Macaca fascicularis: one gene and its partners. The protein of the gene in region 1 binds, or shares a complex with, the protein of each later gene. Links are inferred from orthologs where the notes say so. Each region holds a gene or a part of one and is shown on either strand. Other genes may lie near its edges.

Region 1 (4,034 bases):
GCACCACTAGTATTGCACATATTACACTATATTACGGTTTAAAATGTCTACTTCTTCAACTGAACTAAAGCTCTTTAGAGTAGCTATATGGGCCCTAACCTGACTGGTGTCCTACTAGGAAGAGAAAATTAGGACACAGCCATGTACAAAGGAAAGACCACGTGAAGACACAAGGAGAAGAAGGTCATCTACAAGCCAAGGACAGAGGGCTCTATAGAAAGTAACCCTACCAACCTCAACCTCAGACTTCTAGCCTCCAGAATTACAAGAAAAGAAATTTCTGTTGTTTAAGCCACCCAGTCTGTGGCATTTTGTTATGGCAACCCTAGCAAACAATATACGAAGCCTAACTCTTCAAGTTTTTCTCCAGCAGGGAATCTGAATTATTTCTTTTAAGCTTTTAGTAGCTATTGTGTGGGCAACGATGGTTGCATGTGCATGTTAAAGTTGTTAGAAAACTAAATTTATGCCAGGTCAGAGACTTGTATAACAAAACCACTAATGGGGACTCATCAGCTCATCACTTAGCAGCTACAAAGGAGTAGTTCATGCTTAGCAGTTTGTGGCATTTCACAAAGAAGTGAAAGGCCCTTTGCATGTCTATGACCCTCATCAACAATTTTCTTTTTGAGGTAAAGAAAGCTGATCATCGAAAAGGCATAACAGATGTTTTAGGGGTTGGTGATGACGGTGGCATATGAAGAAAAACACGTATTCTCAACAATATTGCCAATAGAATCCAGCAATACATTTAAAAGGATAATATATTATGACCAAGTAGCATTTATACCATAGAAGCAAAATTGGTTTGGCATTCAAAAGTCAGTCAATCACATTTGCACTGAGGTTATCATAGCTGACAAGCACCGTCTCTGTGGCTTCAGCTCCTGGCTGCAGGCCGCTGATGGAGGTCCAGAAGGTCAGCTGCTCACAGACATCAGCTGCGGCTCCAGCATTTTCCGCAGGCTGCAGCCTCTGGGTTTCAAGCTTTTCATTTCCCAGTCTGCAAACGGGTTAGTCCCGAGCAGGAAGCAACTCCTTCTCCAGCCGGGAGGTGGCGGCCTGCGGTCGATGACGCCTCCGGGGTCCTTGGGCTCAAGGTTCCGTTTGGGGGCGCTCTCGTCCGGCTTGCGGGCTGCCCTTCTCCACAGACGGAACCGTCTGGCGGCGCCGCTGGTTTCTGCGGGGTTTGCAAACAGAGCGTACCGGGCCCTTCCGGTCTTCCGTACAGGTTCCTCCAGTTGGTTGGGCTGCGGAGGGAAGGCTCCCCGGTAAAGCACTGGGGGAGGGAAGCGACGTCGGAGAGCTACGGTTTCCTCCGGCGGTCTCCGACCCTCGCCCCATATATTCCCAGAGCTCGGGTCTGACCCGGGCCTTACCGGGCACCCCGGAAAGGCGGGGGTAATAGTACAGATGGAGACGCAACTGCAGAGCATTTTCGAAGAGGTGGTGGTGAGTGCAGCTGCCGGCCATCCAGGACTACGGCTCGGGGACGGGTAGACGCGGGGGCAGCAGACCAAGGAAGCTGGCCCGGGCAACTTCGTCTCACGCTTCCCTTTTTATTCTCTTGTTTTGACATCGAGGTTGTGTGCGGGGAGGTTTAGTGATTCTCAAACTGCTGTCAAGTTCATTGTATCCTTTGAAATCGATACAGTGACAGGCCCGACAGGTATTGATAGTTTCAGAGCTGATTAAGGTGACTTGTCCTGTGTTACATTGTAATACTTGGCTAAGGGAGGCGCCTTTTAAAAATTAACATTGTTTACATTTTGTTTGTTTGTTTTTTTTTTACAGAAAACGGAAGTTATAGAAGAGGCTTTTCCTGGGTGAGTGTATGCGTGGCGGATTTTTGTGTTTTCATGTGATTGTATCTGTCAGATTTTACTTAGTTTCGTGTTGGAAGGTTCTAAGATCCACTATTCTGATTGTGTGTAATTACCTTTTTAAAACGAATGACAAATAATGTAATTTTTATTTTTTTAGCATGTTTATGGATACTCCTGAAGATGAGAAAACAAAACTAATTAGCTGTTTGGGTGCCTTCAGACAGTTTTGGGGTGGTCTTTCTCAGGTGAGCACTTCATTTTTAATACATTCAGCTGATGATTTTTGCCCCCTTCTTTTTTTTTTTTTCCTTTAACATTTACTTTGATGTTGCTCTTAAGATCTTCCTGAGAAGGAAGAAATAAAATTGTCATCATTTTTTATTCTGGCTTACGTTTGTTTTAATTTGTATATTTCGGTGGAAAACCTATGTTGAGAAGTCAAGTTGATACTGCACAGTGTGCAACGTTAAAAAGAAAAAAACTCCCCTATGTTAGATTAATTAAGATCATTTTCATCCTATTCGGATTTATTTGGTACACTTGAAAACAGATGTGTTAAGCTTTACTTGTCAAAGATACACATTCCATTTGTTTTACTTAATAAAGGAATTGGCACAGCATTGATACAAAGATGCTACAATAGGAATACCAAGATTCTATAATAACGATAGGAAGATATTATAGTAAAAATGAGGAAACAAACTGTAAAAGTAACAAAGAACAGCTACCAGAAAATGTATCCGTAAAAAAGACAAAATGTGTCATCCTCGAAGAGCTCACATTCCAGTAGTGCCTTACCTTCTCATGGTGTATTATGGGTAGGGAAATGAGAACTGTGTGTCAGCCACTGGTGATAAGATTTGCCACTCCAGACATGGATCATATACTGCTAATACAGTCATGTTTTAACCTTTTGTTTAATTATTTTCTAATAGGTAATACATTCATATGGTTCAAAATGCACAGGTATAAAAAGGGTGGATCCAATAACTAGTCTCTCTCTTCTCTTACCTGTTCTTTTTTCTGTCTCTAGCCAATATCCTCAAGTTATGTTTTCTTCTAGAAGTATTTTATGCGTATAGAAACACTTTTATAGCATGATCATATACCATGTACACTGTTAATTAATTAGCACTTTTTTCCTCCTAATAATAATCTAAAGGTAATTCCCTATCAGTCCAAGAGTTACTTGTTCCTTCCTTTCTTGTTATTTTTTATTTTTTTAATTAATTAATTTATTTATTATTATTATACTTTAAGTTCTAGGGTACATGTGCACAACGTGCAGGTTTGTTACATATGTATACTTGTGCCATGTTGGTGTGCTGCACCCATCAACTCGTCATTTACATCAAGTATAACTCCCAATGCAATCTCTCCCCCCTCCCCCCTCCCCATGATAGGCCCCGGTGTGTGATGTCCCCCTTCCCGAGTCCAAGTGATCTCATTGTTCAGTTCCCACCTATGAGTGAGAACATGCAGTGTTTGGTTTTCTGTTCTTGTGATAGTCTGCTGAGAATGATGGTTTCCAGCTGCATCCATGTCCCTACAAGGGACACAAACTCATCCTTTTTTATGGCTGCATAGTATTCCATGGTGTATATGTGCCACATTTTCTTAATCCAGTCTGTCACTGATGGACATTTGGGTTGATTCCAAGTCTTTGCTATTGTGAATAGTGCCGCAATAAACATATGTGTGCATGTGTCTTTATAGCAGCATGATTTATAATCCTTTGGGTATATACCCAGTAATGGGATGGCTGGGTCATATGGTACATCTAGTTCTAGATCCTTGAGGAATCGCCATACTGTTTTCCATAATGGTTGAACTAGTTTACAATCCCACCAACAGTGTAAAAGTGTTCCTTTTTCTCCACATCCTCTCCAGCACCTGTTGTTTCCTGACTTTTTAATGATCGCCATTCTAACTGGTGTGAGATGGTATCTCATTGTGGTTTTGATTTGCATTTCTCTGATGGCCAGTGATGATGAGCATTTTTTCATGTGTCTGTTGTCTGTATGAATGTCTTCTTTTGAGAAATGTCTGTTCATATCCTTTGCCCACTTTTTGATGGGGTTGTTTTTTTCTTGTAAATTTGTTTGAGTTCTTTGTAGGTTCTGGATATTAGCCCTTTGTCAGATGAGTAGATTGCAAAAATGTTCTCCCATTCTGTAGGTTGCCTGTTCACTCTGATGGTAGTTTCTT
Region 2 (4,099 bases), on another chromosome or scaffold:
GATCTTCAAATGTTGGCAAGTATTAAAAAAAAAAACAAAACTAAAATCTTCTGCAGACTGAATAAAATGCCCAAAAGGGGCTAATCTGCAATCTCTCTTGAATGTAAGTATCTGGAAGGTTGTTGTCCTCAAGAGGGTATAGAATGGTTCTAGCTCAATCCAGGGACAACCAAGTTATCAAAATTAATGTCACCAGTAGTGGGACAAATAGACTTCATGTGACTGCAGATAGATGAAGGATAACACTACAATCAGACTAGAGCTACAAGGAGAGACATTATATCACAATATAAGGAATAACTTTCTACCATCTGGCTAACAGTCAAATCAGCTGTCCCTGACAGAGTAACATGGGCTCAGTGAAAACCTCCAGAGGGTAGGTGACCATCTCTCGGCAACGCTGTGGGTAAGATTAAACGTGTTGGTGGCTGAGGCTTCCAACACTGAGTCTGTAAATCTACATACATACAACATTTGTTGAAATCTATTTTTCTTAAAAGTCTTTTCTTTGGATTATTAAATGGATAAAAAGCCAGAAAAGGTGCAAAGGGTCCTGCAGGCAATATAAGATGTATATGCTTCGTGAGTCAATTGTTATTGGACACAGAAAAGTGACTTCGAAACAAGTTTGAAACATTTTCCTCTCAAACTTTTTTTTTTTTAAGGTTCACTATTGCTTTCTACCTGCTTAACACAAAGCAGGGATGAGTTCAAGGTGTTGTTTTTTTTTTTTTTTTTTAATCATTAAAAGGGAATAGGTTTGTGGTTATATGCTTCTTGCAATTCAGTAAGCCTTAACACGAAAGTGTCGCTGAATGACCTGAATGGTAAATATATATATATATATATATAAATGAGTTAATGCATATGAAGCATTTAGCACTGTTTCTGGCACATAAGAGGCCTTAAATAAAAGATAGCAACTCTAAGACTCAGGTTAAGATCACCTCCTCCAAATAACCCCAGAAACACCTTCCTTACAGATACCCTCTTTTAATTTCAGCCCATGGCTTATGTCACTTCATTTACAGACTGTGAGTTCTTCGGGACCAGAAACCTGGTGAGATGGGGAGGGTGGTGAAAGACAAGGTCAGACAAGGCAGGGCCAGATCATATAGGGCTTTAGCCCAAGAAAAGAGACTGGATTTTATTCTGCATGGTATGGAAAGTCATGGAAAGGTTCTAAGCAAGAAAGTAAAGTGTTCTGATTTATATTTTTAAATGACTAAGTTGGTTTCTGTGTAGAAAGCTGTTTTGCTTGGTTTGGTTTGGGGTGGAGGGGGGGCAGGAAGGTAAAAGTGGAAGCAGAGATAACCAGGGAGTAGATTACTGCAGTGATACAAGTTAGAGATGAGACTGTCTTGTGTTAAGATGGTGACAACGAAAAGAAGTGGAGAGATTCCAAATACATTTTTGCCAATGTGAAACGAAGAAATCTATCATATCATAAAGTATACACATGCTTAGGATTATAAAAATTAAACTTACTTTAGATACTTGGCATATTCTGGGTCTTTCCAGTAAAGCAAGTATTTAAGATAATTAACAAAAGCTTTGTCTTTGAAGTAACCTCTTTGGGCAAGAACTGAAAAGCATTAAAAAAAAAAATGTCTGTAGGTCAAACCAATCTTTAAACTATGCTTTGTTACCCCTAATGTAAAGGATCTATTTACATAAAACCCCCACCACCAACACACATTGAATTCAAAACACAAATCCCAGTGCGCAATTATATCTATATACCAGCATAAGTGTAATATCATTCAATTGAGAATGTGTAAAAGTAGATACTATTTTGAATTGCAACTCTTCTGTCAGAAATCATTAGTAGCTACTCAATTTAATGAGGTGCTTAACAACTTACAATTAAGGTAATTTGGGTTGGCTAAACATTGCACAAATTCCAACTCCAACTGAAACCGAAGTCGATTTCCAGCATCATCTAGGAGACAAGACAGCAAAAATCATGGAAAGTAAGGGTCACTGTATATAATACTGATTTGCAGTAAGGAAACAGCAATAAAGAAACCTGACTAATGCCGAGATGGTCTTCCTAAACTGGGAGTTGGGGGAGATAAACCTTTCTTCGAAATCTAAGAAAAGCGGAGCCCTGATTAAAAGGAGTTAGAAGTTTCTCTAAAATTAAAGAGAAATCATCAAAGAAAGCAGCAACACAAACGGAGAATTCCTAAGATCACTAAGGTAGGCTGTAACAACTATGGCTTCCCCTATGTTAATAATGCGTTATAACAATTGTTAACAGTGATTAAGTTTTGCAAAAGCTACGTGCTGAATCAGTTAAGAAAAAGTTAGGATGCAAGAGACTGCGTAGAGCCTAAAAGATCATGGAGCGTATGCATATAAGAAGCACCAGTAGCAGAATGACACATAAAGTCCGGCGACGATATTTCAAACTTAGGCAAGCTCATGTGAGAAGCAGAAAACCAATCAAGGAGGAGACGGTTTAACACACAAGTCCTCTCCCTTAGTCTCACCCACGCCGGGGAGCTGGTAGGGTGGTGTCTGAATAGCAAAGATGTGCGAACAAACCAAATTAGGAAAACTGCAAAGAGTACCTTAGTCTTTCTAGAAGCTACAAGAGCCTTCTCACCTCCTTGTCCAAATATTAACCCTGCCGAGATTAAGGCCTGGAAGGAGGCCACGGGGAAGCCGTCTGGACCGAGGGGAGTTCCATCTGCGAAGACTCCAAGATCAGAGAGCTACTCACCTGTCTCCATAGCGACGGCAGCGGCCATAACAAACGAAGACACCAAAACGCCACCAGCCTGACCGAGCAAAAGCCCAGAGTGGCGGGGGAAGTTCCGGAAACCACGGCTCTCTCTTCCGGTCCCGGGGCACTGTGGGATATGGGGCCGGGCGGCTCCGCCCATCCCGCCAGCCCTGGGATGGCTCCACCCGCGCTGGCTTCAAAATAGCGAGCGGGCGGGGCCCGGGCCGTGGGAGCGCCTGAGGGGCAGGAGCCCAGTGTTTTTAGCCTTGGAAGGATCATGGTGTTTCCACGTCATCGTGTTGTGGCGCTCCCGGCTATGGCAGTACCGTAGTTTTCCTCTCTTCTGCCTGCGGTGACCGTTGGGCTGGGGGGTGCCCCGAGGCCTCCTTGGCCCCCTCACGCCGGCAGAATGGCCTCAGCCCGAGGGGCCAAGCAGTCTTCTCCCCGGGTGGGGACCACCCGCTACACAGAGACGTCCACAGTCCGCGTGGAGACCTCGTCCCACCGCGTGGAGACGTCGTCCCGGCGGGTGGAGACCTCCCAGCGCCGCAGCGAGGGGCCCTCCCTCTCCCCCTTGGGGAAGCGGCTCCCTGGCATCCTCGAGGCGTCCTCCCGGCACGTGGAATCCTCCTCGCAGCGCACGGAAACGACCTCCCGCCACATCAGGGCCTCGTCCCTGAGGGTGGAGACGGCTCTGCACTGCGCGGAGAGCCCAGCCCCGCGGGCCAAGCCGGCCGCCCGCCAGAACGAAAAACCGGCCCGATGAGATGCTGCTTCCCAAAGGCCACCAAGGGGCCAGGGCCCTCAGCCAGGACAGAAAGGCCTCCAGTTGCCAGCCAGCTGCCAGGTGGACCAATCATTTTCGGTTTCATGGAAACAAACCATAAATCAATGGAAGAAACAGCCAAGCCGCAGTTTCTGAACACAGCCAACGTTTATTGACCATCCTGCGTCTTGGACCAGCCTACTTTTGACCCAGTGAACTATTTTCACTTGAAGCCAGCACAAAAGATTTTCATGCCCAGGATGCTGTCTAAATTGGCTTGATGGACAAAGAGGCTGTTTGAGCCTCTGAGCCAGGTGAGTTTGGGATCCACAGCCCTCAGAAGACCTTCACCCCTTAGGAACAGAGACCAAACTGAAATCATGACCTGTGGAATGATTCCATGCCTGCTAGAAACTTGAGGGGCAAGGAACAGACTCATAAATTATTAATGGCCTTTGTTTATGTTTCAAGGTAACTGGTGGTTTTCTTTATGCTAACTAAGTCTTTGTACCTGGCACTCCCATCCATACACTTTTTAAAGGTAGGTTAGATGTAGTTAAAAATGACAGTAAACCCACTAGCAAGCAAAAATAATCTTAGAA
Region 3 (4,028 bases), on another chromosome or scaffold:
TGGCCGGATCTCAGCTCACTGCAAGCTCCGCCTCCCGGATTTACACCATTCTCCTGCCTCAGCCTCCCGAGTAGCTGGGACTACAGGCGCCTGCCACCTTGCCCGGCTAGTTTCTTGTATTTTTTAGTAGAGACGGGGTTTCACCGTGTTAGCCAGGATAGTCTCGATCTCCTGACCTCGTGATCCGCCCATCTCGGCCTCCCAAAGTGCTGGGATTACAGGCTTGAGCCACCGCGCAGGGCCGCTATGAGTGAGTTTATTTAACACGAATTTCTGAAAGACTTGTCAACTCTGGGTGCCCAGGAGTCAAGTTTAGCACCTCCAAAAAGAGCAGAGGATGAGACCATGAAATGAAAGGACCACAGGTACGACTGCCTCATGGGAGTCAGGCAGTCCCCGACCGTCTTTTATAATAATGTAGACCATTATGTGATTCCCTCAAAGTCTTAAAAACCACTTCATAGAAGCTTCTCATTGCTGCTTGAAAAACATCATGCCCAGGGCCGGGCACGGTGGCTCACGTCTATAATCTCAGCACTTTGGGAGGCCGAGGTGGGCAGATCTATTGAAGTCAGGAGTTCGAGACCAGCCTCGCCAACATAGCGAAACCCTGTCTGTACTAAAAATACAAAAATTAGCCGGGCGAGGTGGCACACGCCTGTAATCTTAGCTATTCGGTAGACTGAGGCAGGAGAATATCTTGAACCCGAGAGGCGGAGGTTGTAGTCAGCCGAGATTGCGACAATGCACTCCAGTCTGGGCAACAGAGCGAGACTCGTCTCAAAAAAAGAGGAAAGACGGAAGGAAGGAAGGAAGGAAGGAAGGAAGGAAGGAAGGAAGGAAGGAAGGAAGGAAGGAAGGGAGGGAGGGAGGGAGGGAGGGAGGGAGGGAGGGAGGGAGGGAAAGAAAGAAAGAAAAAACAAAACATTAGGCCCAGGAGAATCAGACTGCGGAAGGAAGGAAAAGAAAGAAAAAACAAAACATTAGGCCCAGGAGAATCAGACTGCATTGCACTCCCTGTTCTCAGTTCAGCCCTTGCTCCCAGGGTTTGGACCCAAAAGCCCTCGCTGGCCCAGCAGATGGCGCCGGTGCCCGCAGTGCGCCCCTCCGGGCGCAAAGGGGGCGCCCTCGCCGGGCCTCTTCTTCCTCTCCTGGATGACTCTTCCGCCTTCCGAGCCCGCCTCCTCGCCACGCCCCTGCGTCAGCGCGCTCAGCGCGTGCGCCGGCGGCGGGGCTGTGAGGAAAATGGCTGCGTCTTCGAGTGGTGAGAAGGAGAAAGAGAGGCTGGGAGGCGGCTTGGGAGTGGCAAGTGGTAACAGCACACGAGAGCGGCTACTGTCTGCGCTTGAGGATTTGGAGGTCCTGTCTAGGTAATGCTGCGATCCTGAGAGCCGGGCTGGAGCTAGGCCGGGGGACTGACCCCCGGAGCCGGCCGGCCCAGCGTTTGTGCTCGTTCTCGGGGTTCGGCGGGGAGGGCCAGCTCGGGAGTTTCGGGTGCACCAGGGTCACGGACGTGGGGTCCGCAGTCTTCCAGCACTCTGGACGGCGGTTTTTCCCGTTAGAGGGAATTTTAGTAATGATAAGAACTCGCGCGGTCTGAGCCCCTTCGTCCACAGCCAGCCACTTAACATTTATGGAACGCCCCTTGGGTGCCAAGCACTAGGGAGACAGTAGTGCAGGGTAGGCTGAATGCCGGCTGTCGAGAGAGAGAGACAGATGTGTAAACTGCCTTGAAGCCTGTTTTTATTAGAGCGCTGCGCTGCGGGGTACTGGAGCACAGGGGCTAGGCACCTTTTCTGGTTGTAATCAGGGCAGGCCCTCTGAAGAAACGGCTGTTTGGGAAGCGTGAGCTTGCCAGACTCACTAGGCAGCACAGGTAGATGGAACAGCAAGTGCAAAAAGCCTGGCTTGGTGGAGTTGCAAGTTTTGTATCAGAGATAGGAGATGAAATTAAATGTCATTCTTTATATTCTGTCACCTTTCATGATAAGTCAAGTTGAAGCCTTCCTTGACTCCCTCCCATTGACGTGGATGGTAAATTATCTTGGTTCTACCTCCTAAAATGTTGCTCACATTTGTCCTCTCGTTCCTACCCCACTGTTCATAACTACTCTTAAATGCAGCCTCCCAGTTTTAATTGCCTCATGCTTCTGCACTGTATCCTTTTATATTGGCCAAGATCAGTTTTAAAAGGCATGTTATATTACTTTTCTGCAGAAAAATGATATAAAACCTACCTCATTGGTAGATTTGCGTTGTCCAGTGAGGTAAAGTTCAAATTCTTTAGTCAGGCTTCCACATCTTCAATGCCATTCCCAATCTTCCCCCGATTTGGTGAATGATTCATATATCCTTCAGATTCCAGCCCAAATGTCACTTTTTCTGTAGCCAACATTCTTTGACAACTTTAGAATAAATCTTATCTGTTGTATTTTAAAATATACCTGATATAATCAGCACTTTATCTTTGGTGTAAATTTAGTCCTTGCCATAGTATTGCTACCAAGTTACCAGGTCAGCACAATATTTAATGATGGAAGAAAACCCTAAAACAAATAGACTCCAGAAATTAAATGACTTATGTGTTTGATCCACTGTTTAAAATAAACTGTATTATGGCCGGGTGTGGTGGCTCACGCCTGTAATCCCAACACTTTGGGAGGCCGAGGCGAGCGGATCATTGGAATTTCTTCACAGAATGAAGCTGCTCTGGTGGTGTGACTGGCTTCCAGAAAAGTCTCATGTGCTCACTCAGACATAGTTATGTGTGCTGATTCTGTGATCTGTGTAATTTGTCAGTCTCTGAATGTAATTTGTGTCTGGCTTGCATTTATGGAAATGAGAAGAAAATTCACGAATGTACCTTACATATTTTTAGGTTGAGCCTCTTGGCTTTAAAAAATAGTGGATTTATAACTTAGGATCTTTTTTTTTTTTCTATTAACCTGATTATGTACCCTTTCAGGATATTTATTACTTTGTAAAATGTAATGCAAGGAGACAGTCTTAAACAATTGAAACACAGGTTGTAGTCTAAACGTTTTTCTTAACCCGTTTGTAACTGAAAACTCACGGAATCATGTTGATAGGAGTCTTGAGGTTTCCACACCAGCCTGTTAATTCTCTTTACCTGAAAAGTGTATTACCACTAATAATGTAGGCTCTAACCCCTATGGAAATTTTATTTCTATGGGGAATTGTGGCTGGATTCTAATGCAGTATGCCAGGAATGCACCTTCCTTGTAGCAGGACAGGGCTCTTACTTCCACATCTTTAACCAGAGAGTGAGTATGGGCCTTCCTTTGGCCTCTTTTTCACAAATGGGGAGGACAGAGGTTTCTACTTCGTCTTGGACTGTTACAGAACATGACTAAGTCTTAGAGACTTCTACCTCCCCTCTACTCCTGTGTCAGAGACTTCTACCTCACCTGTACTCCTGTGCCTATGGCAAGCCTTGTAAAGCCTTCTGTGGACTCATACTCCCAGATTTGCAAGAACAGAGGAAGGCTTATCCCACATCTCCTACCATAGCCCCACTCCAGTCAGCACCACCCCTGCCCCACCTGAAACCAGCTTTTACTTAGACTAGAGGTTCTCAACAGTTTGTGTCTCAGTGGCATACACGAAAAAGTTTACGTAACATGCTGTTTTCATACACTGTTGATCCATCAGCAAGTCCTGATAGCTCTACCTCCAAAAGATATCTGAAATCTGTCTATGTTTCTCCCATCACCATTACTAAGTCCTGGAGGCTATGACCTAGTCAAAACCAGTCATTTTTTGCCTGGAACACTACAAAAACCACCTGTTCTGGCCCTTTTACAGTCTATTTACCAAATCGCTCAGCAGTTTTTAAAAGTGTAAATCAGGTCATGCCTTTTCCCTGTTTAAAATGATCCAGTGGCTTTTCATTGAATATGGAACGAAACATTAATCTTTACCATAACTGTAAGGTCCTACATAATCTTACCCCTAGCCACCTGGCTGCTATATCCTCACTTTGCTTTCCTCTCCCCAGTGTACCTCCT

What was found. Proteins that work in one complex are often made in the same cells at the same time.
Region 2: MED23 (region 1) and MED31 share a complex: the UniProt entries of both Homo sapiens proteins name them as parts of the mediator complex. The link is inferred for Macaca fascicularis from reciprocal best matches to the Homo sapiens genes MED23 and MED31.
Region 3: MED23 (region 1) and MED4 share a complex: the UniProt entries of both Homo sapiens proteins name them as parts of the mediator complex. The link is inferred for Macaca fascicularis from reciprocal best matches to the Homo sapiens genes MED23 and MED4.

What each region holds. Positions count from the first base shown.
Region 1 is NC_088378.1:35,602,941-35,606,974, reverse strand, and holds the start of MED23 (mediator of RNA polymerase II transcription subunit 23), read left to right. Parts: upstream 1-1,225; 5' UTR 1,226-1,413; coding exon 1,414-1,452; exon of another isoform or gene 1,453-1,669; intron 1,670-1,794; coding exon 1,795-1,826; intron 1,827-1,983; coding exon 1,984-2,071; intron 2,072-4,034. UniProt on the Homo sapiens protein: Required for transcriptional activation subsequent to the assembly of the pre-initiation complex. Component of the Mediator complex, a coactivator involved in the regulated transcription of nearly all RNA polymerase II-dependent genes.
Region 2 is NC_088390.1:6,692,427-6,696,525, forward strand, and holds the start of MED31 (mediator of RNA polymerase II transcription subunit 31), read right to left. Parts: upstream 2,810-4,099; 5' UTR 2,757-2,809; coding exon 2,729-2,756; intron 1,943-2,728; coding exon 1,865-1,942; intron 1,586-1,864; coding exon 1,489-1,585; intron 1-1,488. Other genes in the region: C16H17orf100 (uncharacterized protein C17orf100 homolog), read left to right, coding at 3,141-3,497. UniProt on the Homo sapiens protein: Component of the Mediator complex, a coactivator involved in the regulated transcription of nearly all RNA polymerase II-dependent genes.
Region 3 is NC_088391.1:27,212,675-27,216,702, reverse strand, and holds the start of MED4 (mediator of RNA polymerase II transcription subunit 4), read left to right. Parts: upstream 1-1,219; 5' UTR 1,220-1,245; coding exon 1,246-1,370; intron 1,371-4,028. UniProt on the Homo sapiens protein: Component of the Mediator complex, a coactivator involved in the regulated transcription of nearly all RNA polymerase II-dependent genes.